Linked DNA regions of Drosophila melanogaster. The protein of the gene in region 1 purifies or fractionates together with the protein of each later gene. This does not show direct contact. Each region holds a gene or a part of one and is shown on either strand. Other genes may lie near its edges.

Evidence for each region.
Region 2: the proteins of Men (region 1) and Syb purify together in Drosophila melanogaster (affinity purification with mass spectrometry, with the first as the bait; one large-scale study listed by BioGRID). This does not show direct contact.

Annotation. Positions count from the first base shown.
Region 1 is NT_033777.3:12,719,897-12,725,406, forward strand, and holds the start of Men (malic enzyme), read right to left. Parts: upstream 2,547-5,510; 5' UTR 2,302-2,546; coding exon 2,240-2,301; intron 889-2,239; exon of another isoform or gene 771-888; coding exon of another isoform or gene 721-770; intron 132-720; coding exon 1-131.
Region 2 is NT_033778.4:10,249,466-10,254,975, forward strand, and holds the start of Syb (synaptobrevin), read right to left. Parts: upstream 2,953-5,510; 5' UTR 2,817-2,952; intron 2,708-2,816; exon of another isoform or gene 2,610-2,707; intron 2,520-2,609; 5' UTR 2,510-2,519; coding exon 2,463-2,509; intron 1,749-2,462; coding exon 1,414-1,748; intron 1,122-1,413; coding exon of another isoform or gene 1,105-1,121; exon of another isoform or gene 904-1,104; intron 363-903; coding exon 286-362; 3' UTR 1-285. Other genes in the region: Csgalnact (chondroitin sulfate N-acetylgalactosaminyltransferase), read left to right, coding at 3,522-4,560, 4,675-4,811, 4,872-5,174, 5,236-5,379. UniProt on the Drosophila melanogaster protein: Involved in the targeting and/or fusion of transport vesicles to their target membrane.

The sequences.
Region 1 (5,510 bases):
TCTCTCTCTCATGGCTATTGTTGTTGTTGCTGTTGCTGTTTCTCTTCGTGTAACAGCCGAGCTCGCGCTCTTTGCCGCGACTATATGAGGAAGGACTCTGCGAATTGTTGGCGGTGGGATAAACCGGCGTGCTGAGGGAGAGAGAGAGAGCAGACAATATGTGAATGAATGTCAATGCGGGAGTGACAATAACAACCAATTCGTCACCAACATTCGGATACTCTTTCTGAAAGAACCGATGTTAACATTTTTAATTGAATTTTAATCGTACACACTCCACGTTCCCACACTAACAATTGTTAATAATATATATATTACATTTTAATAGTATATATATCTTATTTGAATAGTATATTATATAACAGTATATAATAATATATGAATTTCACCATAAAAAGCTTTTTGTAATAGCCAAAAAGTCGTAGAGCAATAAAATGGTATTTAGGGTTAAAAGAGGCCCTTAAAGGGTGGGTACTCTTCGTTTCAGATTCCTTATCAAGGTTTTCAGAACCTTTGAAATGCGCTGATATGTTTGAACGTATGTGCATGGTCATATGATGAGGCGATGCATCGCAGACACGCCTTCCAGATGGAAACCGATAAGTGGTGCCAAAGTGACACTGATTATTGCCAATTCAGAAACACACCCTCTTGATCTGTGGTCCAATCGTATGACACCACATTATACTTGTTATTCTGAAATTCTTGCATTCGACTCACGGTCCAAAAGTTTTTCTGATACCAGAACAGCGTCGTAGGATCGAGTACATGGCGGTGCTCTTAAAAGTCTTCTATATTATATACTTATTAGTATATTGATTTGCCGACAATTATCTCACTGAGTATTTGACTTTTGTCTGCGTTGCTGCAGCTTTCGTGCTGAACTGAACCGCAGTATTCGATTTGTTTTGCTACCACCATATGTATACACTTTGCGATTTTGTTTTGTTTCCGCGCTCTTTGGCTCTTTCTCTCCGATTAGTTTCAGTTGTGTGGGGTATATCAGCTGACTGATAAGGGCGGTGCAAACACTATCTGCACATATAAACGCCATTAAACAACGATTATTACCATCAAATCATTTGTCTGGGACCTGGAAAACATTGCGATGCGGCGTGAATAGCATGCGAAAAGTTTCCGTGAGAACAGCAGCGGTCGAAATAATAGTATTCAAATTAGACTATAGAGTATTGCAGTTAGCAATTTCTTATCTACTATTATTTATAATCAGTAGCTTTGATTTTAATGTAAACTTAAGTACAACGTGCGTGCATTACTTGAATTAAATAAACCGAACCTTTTCTATTAGAGATTATTAGACTCGATGGCGTTAAATATAAACCAATAATACCTCCTGAACTTGTGGCATCTGACTAAGTATAAATTATTTAAAGAGACGCCTCAAGGTAGAAGCCCCAAACCCCAACCTTAACCTTCAGTGTCCCGAATCGCTTCAGTTCCCGCCCCACTTTGCACTTGACTCACTCATACGACCGGTGGGCCCGTTCCGCTTTTGCTCGGATGTCTGTTTGATATATTCAATTATTACACAAAAATTGAAAGTAAAACACGGCAGGCGAATAAATTGGAATATATCACACATGTTTGTGTGTGTGCCCGAGCAACCTTCATAAATATTAACAATTTACTTCAGCTTTGCCAACGAATTACATTTTCCAAGTACCTTCGTGAGCAAAACACACCTGTCGCTCTAACTTTTTTTTTTCTTTTTACTTCGAAAATCGTTAATTAAGAAGGTGGTGCTCTAATTTTTTATCGATGGCGTGTGTCAGAAGTTATTCTTTTTTATCGCAACGCCGACGAGTCGCCTGTAAATCGTTGATAAAACACTAGTAAAACGAATCATTGACCACTAATGACACCTCGAGAAACAAATTATTGGAGGGGCGGGGCTGAGGGCGGTGGCTTGGCTTGCATTTGCACAAGAAAAAACTTGTAGTTGCAGGAAAGGATCTACTTAAATATATTAAGTATCGAAACAAAAAATGTTAAGAATTTGTAATGGTTTTTTATAAATAACTTTTTTATGTAAAATATAATTTCCTAATCTTTCAGTTATTAGTTTTTAGTAACAATAAAAATAAACAAATTAATTACAAACATGTTTGCGCATTAGTAAACACAAACTCTTTGGCCAACTCTCGCATTTTCGAAATCCTCTTTTGCCAATCGCTTGAGTTCAGCTTCAGTTTGTTCACTTTTCCATTTCATTTCTTACCCATTTTCATCGAAATTTGTTATGACATTGCGATCGGCGCAAATGGAACTGGAATTACCCATTTTGGGTTCTAAATTTCAGTTAAATTAGCTCCAGTTAAATAGTTATAGTTAATTATTTGGTAAACGCAAAACTTGTGAACTTTTCTAACGCGAAAATTAACTCAGTTCGCTTGACCACGCGATGTTTCACCGGAATTATTAAAAACAGTTATTAACAAAAATTAAAAAAAGTGTATTTTGAGCTATTGCGCTTGACTTAGCAACTCCGAACCGCCTGAAACTGAATCAAAAACTGAACTCGCGCTGAAATCGCGGCTCTGCGAACACCGGAGGCAACTTGCTAGCAGCGGGCGGCCCAAAGGAGAAGGAGAAGGAGAGTGTCCGGTGCTGCCCTCCCGCTCGCACCCGCACGCAGGCAGCACGCGACATTTGCTCCACTGAGTCACTTTGGTAGGCCCAGACGGCTACAGTGGCCCCTCGCTAAAAAGGATGAAATCTAAAATGCATTTTTAATAGGTTTTTAGTTTATTTCTTATATAAAAATCAATAACTTTAAACACTATTTAACGTTGATATTAGGTAATCTGCTGTTTTATTTAACTATAATTTGTAAATTTTTATGCTTTACAAAAGGACTATACAAAAATGGGTTTGTTTGTATTCTCTTTTTAATTTTAATCTAGCAAGACTTTCATTTCGGGGTTTCACCGTATTTGATTAATCGTTGCAGCCTTAGAGAAGCTTTGGCGCTGAGTTGTACTTCACTTGGAGTCACACAAAACCTGAGCGGTTGGTTAATCGCAGTGACCTCTGGGCGGCACACACAAATGCATGAAGCAATTTGTTGCTGGCCAATTAAAAAATAATAATTTCAGCTTTCAAAGAAGGCAACTCGATTGCTGACCATCGCGTCCCAGTCGGCTGCACTTGGCAAGTGGCGAAGAAAAATTTATAAATCCAATGAATTCCGGGTCATTTCAAATGCACTGAGTTGAAACGATGGGGAAGGGGACTCGGTAGTCGGTGTGGTGGATCCTTAGGCTTTTTTCGCCTTTTGACTCTGATTTTATCACCTAATGATTTTACCGCTGTTTCATTTGTCGCCTGGGTGGCACTCGAATTTTAATTAGATTTGCTTTATTGCACTGCTGTCTGTTGAAATCATAATATATATTGCACTAATGTTCAAAGATCTTGTTCAATTGTGCAAATATGACACACATTAATTACTGGGTTTGGTTTGCTATATCGAATTTATTGTTGAAGTGTCGGCTTGTGTTTACTGTCTAAAATTTGCGAAAGTGTCGTATGAAAAGTTGCAACACGATTTCAATTGCTGCCAGGGTCAATTGTAATTTCAGTTAAGTCAGTAAAAAAAAACCATACGGCGGAATCGTGGCTGCATTAATATTGGTATTATCGACATATACGAGAAAATTGTTGGATTATTGAAGTAAAGTGTGCATATAAAACTAACAAAGAATGTCGCTATACCATTATTAACTTATCTACATATGTATTTTAAAAACCACAGATAACATCGTAGTTTGTTAAAATTTCGATTCATTCTATCTAGTTCATACAATAGTGACCACGAAAGTATCTTAAGGAGGCCAACAATAACAATGATTATACAAGCGAAACTCCAAAAAATACTAAAAACCACTCCGAATGGAAATTTCCAGTTAGAAATTTTTATAATTTATATTTTTTTAAATTCGTTTAACAGAACCATAAAACCTAGCATTGCAAAACATTACTGATAAGTGATAGTTCGCTTAAAATATAATAGATGGCGCTATCGTTAAGCTCTAGATTTGGCCGTTAATTTTAGGCGCTACTGTTAATGTAATAAAAGCTTAAAAGCTTTGTTTGCGTTGGAGTGTTCATAAATAATAACAGATGGCGCCAGCTGCAGTTCTGAAAACGACCGTTATTTATCTATGATTAACGGTTTCTTTTGTATTATACAAATACAAATAATAATAATAATTGTAACAATAACACCTTTTGTTATGAATTACATTATTTCACCATAAATTGGTGGGTCAATTTAGGAATGCATGTTTGTAACCTGCGTTAGAAAATAAAATCAATGACCAATTGATAGTTTGCCATTTTATAATACAACACTCAAACCGCGCGATTGCTATTTTAGAGGTGTGTCAGCTGATTTTCCGAGTCCAGTGCTTTTCACATGCTCAGTTCAACCATGTTTTGCACATATTGCTTTTTCAACTTTTTGCCATTGCAATTTAATAACAACGTGATGAGGGGAGATCCAACGACGTGCAACAAGCAACAAGGCAATTGAGGGCCACTTTTATCATCAAATGATTTTACCCAGCTAAGCCAGCGCAATTTCCACGAAGTTGCATGTGACGGGGATAACACTGAGAAAATAACATAAAAAATCAACATGGGTATTAAGTTACCATATAGCAGATATAGTGGTTTTCTTTTTTAAGGATGTTTTCACATAGAAAGGCTTCCGTTTTTAGTAAGTTTTAAGAGAACCGAAGAACGTGCTGGAATAAATTTCCCAGTGTAAACAAACACAAGGATAGTAGTGAGTGTGTGTGTAGCGATTGCAAAAAAATGCAATTGGTGGATGGCAGTTGGGTGTGTGGGAGCGAAACGGTAATCTATCATAATTTTTATATCCTAAAATCCCATTTTCGTATTAGGGCAAAAATGTCTGAGAGCAAATATAATAAAATGGCCAACACATCGACTTGGCCACCCAGCCGGAAGGTACAAAGGACGCTGGAGAGGAGCTCGCACATTTATGCTCCTTGTCAAAGGATAACACACTCACACTTCTGCCAAGCCAACAGTATGAAATTCCAGCCATCCGCTTGATTTTTCTCTATTTTTTCGATGCGCTCCCCCCACATTTTCCATCTCATTCTTCGCCCGACCATCTGTCTCTTTCTATTTCCCTTTGCTGGCCGCGTTTTATTTTTCAATGGCTGGTCCGGCACAAAAACGTTCGAATGGCCAACAATTTTATGAGTCTCGCGTACACGATCTCACTTGGACTCGGTCTTGGTCTTGGTCTTGGACTTCGTTCCGTGCCGGAAATGTCAAACTGAACAAAAATAAGGGGGATTTGTGGAATAGAAGGTACTCTTACTCAAATCATTAAAGCCATGTACATTTTTATTTCCTTTGAATCCACAAAATATAGTTAAAACAATGGTGAATGAATGAATTTCCGTAGTTTGTAATTTGTTAAAAAATAAAAATAAAAGGGGATACAAATCAAT
Region 2 (5,510 bases), on another chromosome or scaffold:
GGATGATATACACGTATATATAATTGTATATAATGCAATACACATTAATGGGACCTCTGGTCTCGGCTACGACACGTAAAAATGTTAAGTTTAACATTAAGATTTAATAATTACATTCTGGTTAAATATATGCTAGACGCAATTTTAGTAAGTTATCCTTTTGATTTTCTTCATCTCCCCTTCTCTCATTGCGCGAAAAGACCAGAAAGGTTTCCGTCCCAGTTGTGTTTGTTTGGTCCTTTTCCATTTCGTATCCATGTGTTTACCTCACTCCCTAGGAGGCCTTTAGTGCGGCGGTGCTTGGGTGATGGCCTTGTTTCCTCCACCACTGCCGCTGTCACTACTAGACGGCCAAACGGACACTAAAAAGGGAAATACGCAGATATTAGAGCTATGTTTATATCAATTCAACGAGATATGAAAAGGATTTCATATCCTATCTCGCATTTAAATGAAATCGCGGTCTTTTTAAGTAAAAGTTCTAACCACCCAGCACATTGTACTGAGCGTTTTGTTGACGAAAGATTTCTTCAGTTATTTATTAATTAACAACTTTTAAAGTCAGATTTTATCTTCCCGCTTACTATCTTACATACCTTTCGATGTCAGCACGGATTTCGTATTGTCATTCTTATTTAATACTTTTTACGCGAGTTTAATTTGAATAAAATCGAAATGACTTTTTAAAATGAAATTTCTCCATAGAACAGAGCCCTAGCCCCAACATTGCACTGTAGATATAACCATTTTTAACTTCTTAATAGCTTTGCTGAAGCTATATACATATGTATGAACTTTATAGTCTACACACGTATGACATGGAGGTTCTAATCTTCGCACACTACAGACTAAACAAATATAACGATAATTAACACTTAGGACAGGCACAAGAACAACAATTACCTTTAGAGCTTTAGAGTTGCTTAGCTTAAGACTTTTATAAAATATAATAAACAATTTAAGGAGTATATAGTAGGAGCCAGTACACGTACACAAACGTGTTAAACGATTAATCTGAACCTTAACTTTGCTGATTGGGAAACGGAATTACATGATTTTTGTTGGCTTTGCTTTTGTTTTTCTGTGAGTGTGTGTTTAATTGTATCAATTGAAAAGCGACACTGCAAGTAAACAGAAATTCACAAGGGGTTGTCATCAGTACGAGTAGGAGTATCTGTTATTGGATTAGTTAGCTGCAAGCCACATGGACAAGTTGTTAGGACCGAAACCACAGGTTGAGCAAGATTAGGGCGTTTGCAGGGCGTCGACTTGCGTTATAGATATAACAATACCAAACCAAACCAGCCACCTAGCTACACTACTGATCTTTAGCCTGATCGAGAAAAACCGCAACCAGAAAGAAGCACCAGCAAGAGGCAAAAAGCCGAAGCGGTATAAAATCGGTTAGCTTACCCAGAACGATGATGAGCAGCACAACGGCTATCACGCCCAGAATGATCATCATCTTCATGTTGGCCCACCATTGCTTGCGCTTCAGCTTGCCGGCCTGCTGCTCGAACTGGGATGCTCCCTGCTCCAGCTGATCCGCACGCTCGCCCAGTTCCGATAGCTTCTGGTCCCGCTCCAGGACCTTCTCCACGTTCACACGCATAATCCCGACCACCTCGTCCACCTTGGCTTGGGTCTGCTGCAGCTTCTTCTGGGCTGCATTGTTGTTCCTGATTTGATGGTCACCGAATTGATTGTAGTTGTCATTCGCGTTCGGCGGTGGCGGAAGTATGGGAAAACTGTACAATATTATGTGTGTTTGTGGGGGTTGCTTACACTTATTAAGAGCAGCAGATGGATCATCAAGCTGCAACGCACAAAAGCACGAGTCTTGGTATATCATGCCATCGTTATCTATGCCAATTCACCTTTCACGTTTTAATAATGGGACTTGTGTCCTATAAATACTTTCTTTCTTCTTAAATTCGGATAGACTAATAAAACTTCACAATCTCAAGTGCTGTTGAAATTCCATTGACAAAAAAAAATATAAAATGAGTAATATTCATTTGTTTTTCATAGATGTTAAATGAAACATACTTAAGTATGTTCAGTTACCATTTGCGATAAAGTGATTAATAAGCAAATTCTGTTTCTGATTATAAGCTACTTGCAAATGTTTTACAATTTAGAATCGAATATAATTAATACTTTTTTGTTATTCGAGTTAATTTGCCATTTCACATTAATATTCCATCTAAGATAGCAACTGACTTTACAATATCTCAACTTAACTGAATGCTTTTAATGACCCTAATTGATTTCAAACTACAACTGAAGCTACCGCTTGGGCAGCAGCATGACGTTTACGGTATTCCAATGTCCGAAAGTGAAGTCCGAAGACTTTACTTCCGGTTCGCTGTGGCCCATATGACTCAGGTGACGTCACTGTATGGGATTTTCCTTGCTTTTGTGCGCTGAGCCTGTTGATTCGATGGATTTCCACCACTTACTCGTTGTTGTTGGATCCCGAGGGGGAGGGGGCTTCGTTGTTCTCCATTGTGAATTTGCTGCGGAAAGAAAGCGAAGCAGAGAAAGGCCTTTATTGGATGTCTGGTTCTTTAAATGGGGAGAATGCATGTTCCATCACACACACACACCCGAAATTGTTTAGATTACAGGGCCGAAAAGAAAAGAAAACAAAACGCAGCACACGCCTTATCTATTCGGCCTATGAATCACTCGATTTATAGGAATGCCATCACCTTTGCTCGAAAAAAGAACTTGTTGCATGCCGCACTGCCAACAAACGCTGTTTACATGGGTGGAACGCCACCCCCAACCACCCACCACCCCCGAGCACTCACCTTGACAATGTGCCTGTAGAATACTGCTGTGTATTTCGGGTTTTCCACGGAAAACTGCGGCTGCTTTTTAAATAGCACTATTTTTTTTTATAGAAATATCAGCTTGTGATCAGTGTGACCGTTGAACTATTAGAGCTGGAACCAAGCCCGATACCTTATCGATACTATCGATGTTTCCTGAAAACCCCTTGCAAATATAAAAAGATAATACTTATCTAGCTTATAAAAAACATGAATTGGTATATTTAGTATGTGTATCGGCGCACAAATTATTGTTAACAAGCACTTGCATTCCATTTTTCTTTAGTTCCTTGCAGATGATGTTTGATTTCAAATCAATGTCTTATATTATTGTATCTTATTTTATTACTTAAATTACCAGTGCCGCAAGCCAAAATGAAATTTTTGTTTGCTCTTAACTGATTTATCTTTAATACTTTTACAAAAGATCAGCGAAAATTATTAATAACGCACTGTTGCCTAAATAGCAGAGACAAAAACCAATAAACTGTTCTACCGAGCCATGTACATGTATAATATGTAATAAAAATGTAGAATTCCACAGCAATGTATAAAATTTGTGATAATTCGTTACTAGTTTTTTTTACAGTCTCAAATGTGTGTTTGCATTTTACTATTGCACTTAGATAACTAATTATTTTATTATTTTCAATAGGTTGAAAATTTTGTAAGAAACTATGGAAAATGCATAACTCCCTGGTGACCAAGTTGCTGCTGCGGCTTTTGCTGCTCTTCGCCTTGTTGACCGGCGCCTCCATTGTGGTGCTCACAAAGTGCGGATTCGATGAACTGACGACGAGGGAAACTCAAGCCAATAATCCGAGTGAATCCAGCGGATTCAGTTACACCTTAAGCGAACGAGAGGCGGAAATTGAGCGGCTGAAACAGGAAGTCCTGGCTCTCCGCACTCAAATCCTCTTTCTACAGAATAATCGCAGCACTGCCAAGCCATCAAATGGCAGTCTTCAATTGCAAGAAACCACCGCGGGGCCACCAACTGCACCACTGGGTCACCATTACGACTGCAGCAGCTATATTCGCAAGCAGGTGGGCGCCGCAGAAATTCTGCATGGACTGCCGCTGAACAACGAGTACGAGCTGATACCCTACAATCACTTCACCTTCACGCGAGTATATCCCATCGACTTGGGCCTGGGAAAGCGCGTGGTGGAGAAGCCCATCGGTTATCGACGACGTGACCTCATCGAGGCGGTAAACAAGGCGCTGGAGAGCCTGAACAGGAATCACTCAGCGAGAATACGAGCCAAGGGAGCTGGTTCTGCAGCGGCTTACGCCTCGGATGTGATCAAATACACCCTGGATGACTTTATCGAGGGCATATACCGCAACGAACCCACCACAGGCACCCAGTACGAGCTGTACTTCCAGAGTGTCAAGCACCAGGCGAGTCCAGTGCGGAGAGCCCTGGTCATGCGACCATTTGCTCCTCTGCAAACGGTGCAGCTATCGGAGCTATCTTCCAGTGTGGATAATAGTGGTGCCCCTCCAAGTCATAGTCCGCCCATAATCCACGTGATACTACCGCTGGCTGGACGTCTGCACAGCTTTCGCGGCTTCCTGCAGATGTTCGCCAAGCTAGAGGATCGTCGCCTGGAGCTTATTGTGGTGTACTTTGGAACCAGTGGATTGGAGCAAGCTAGGAGCCTGGCTGGACGATCCCAAAGGACTCAGTTTTTGGCACTCAATGAGACTTTCAGTAGGGGTAAGCACGGGTTTCGTTTATTAATATTACATTTGTTTCGTTCATAATACATATGCAAGTTTATAATGCATTACAAATAATATTGGTAGTTAATAATAGCCATTTTGCTTATAGCCAAAGCTTTAAGACTGGGAGCGGAGCACATTCAACCCGCTGAGGAGGACGTGCTGCTCTTCATGTGCGACGTGGACATTATGTTCACGACCAAGTTCCTGGAGCGTTGTCGCTGGAATGCAGCGCCTGGAAAGAAGGTAAATATATCTGCTATTATTTAAATTACTAATACATTAACATCTATTTTCAACGCTTAGGTCTACTACCCCGTCGTATTTAGCCTGTACAATCCGCATGTGGTGTACTCACTGCAGGGCAAGCCCTTGCCCAGCGAAGAGGAGCAACTGGTGATATCGAGGGACACCGGTTTCTGGCGGGACTTTGGCTACGGAATGACGTGCCAGTACCGCTCGAACTTCCTAAAGGTGCGCGGTTTCGACGAGGAGGAGATTGTCGGTTGGGGCGGCGAGGATGTGATGCTATACCGAAAGTATGTTCGATCAAAAATCAAGATAATCAGGGCCACCGACCCGGGAATCTTTCACCGCTGGCACACCAAGGTACTGTTGTATGCAACGAATTTCAGCCCATTTGCACTACCGAGTTCTCTCTTTTACACAGATCTGTTCCAGTTCCCTGACAGCCGATCAGTATCGGGCCTGCATTCGATCGAGGGCCTTGAATGAGGCCTCGCACGCCCAACTGGGATTCCTGGCTTTCCGGGATGATATAGCCGCGGCTAATGCGGCAAAGATGACATCGTGATACTCGACTATTCCCCATGTATCCCCAATCGCTTGGCTTCTCTACTTAAGTGTGTGTGAATGGAGAGCAGTGATATAGTTGAAATGTCTAGGGTTTTCTAACAATTATAGCTTTTATTCCATTTCGTTTTA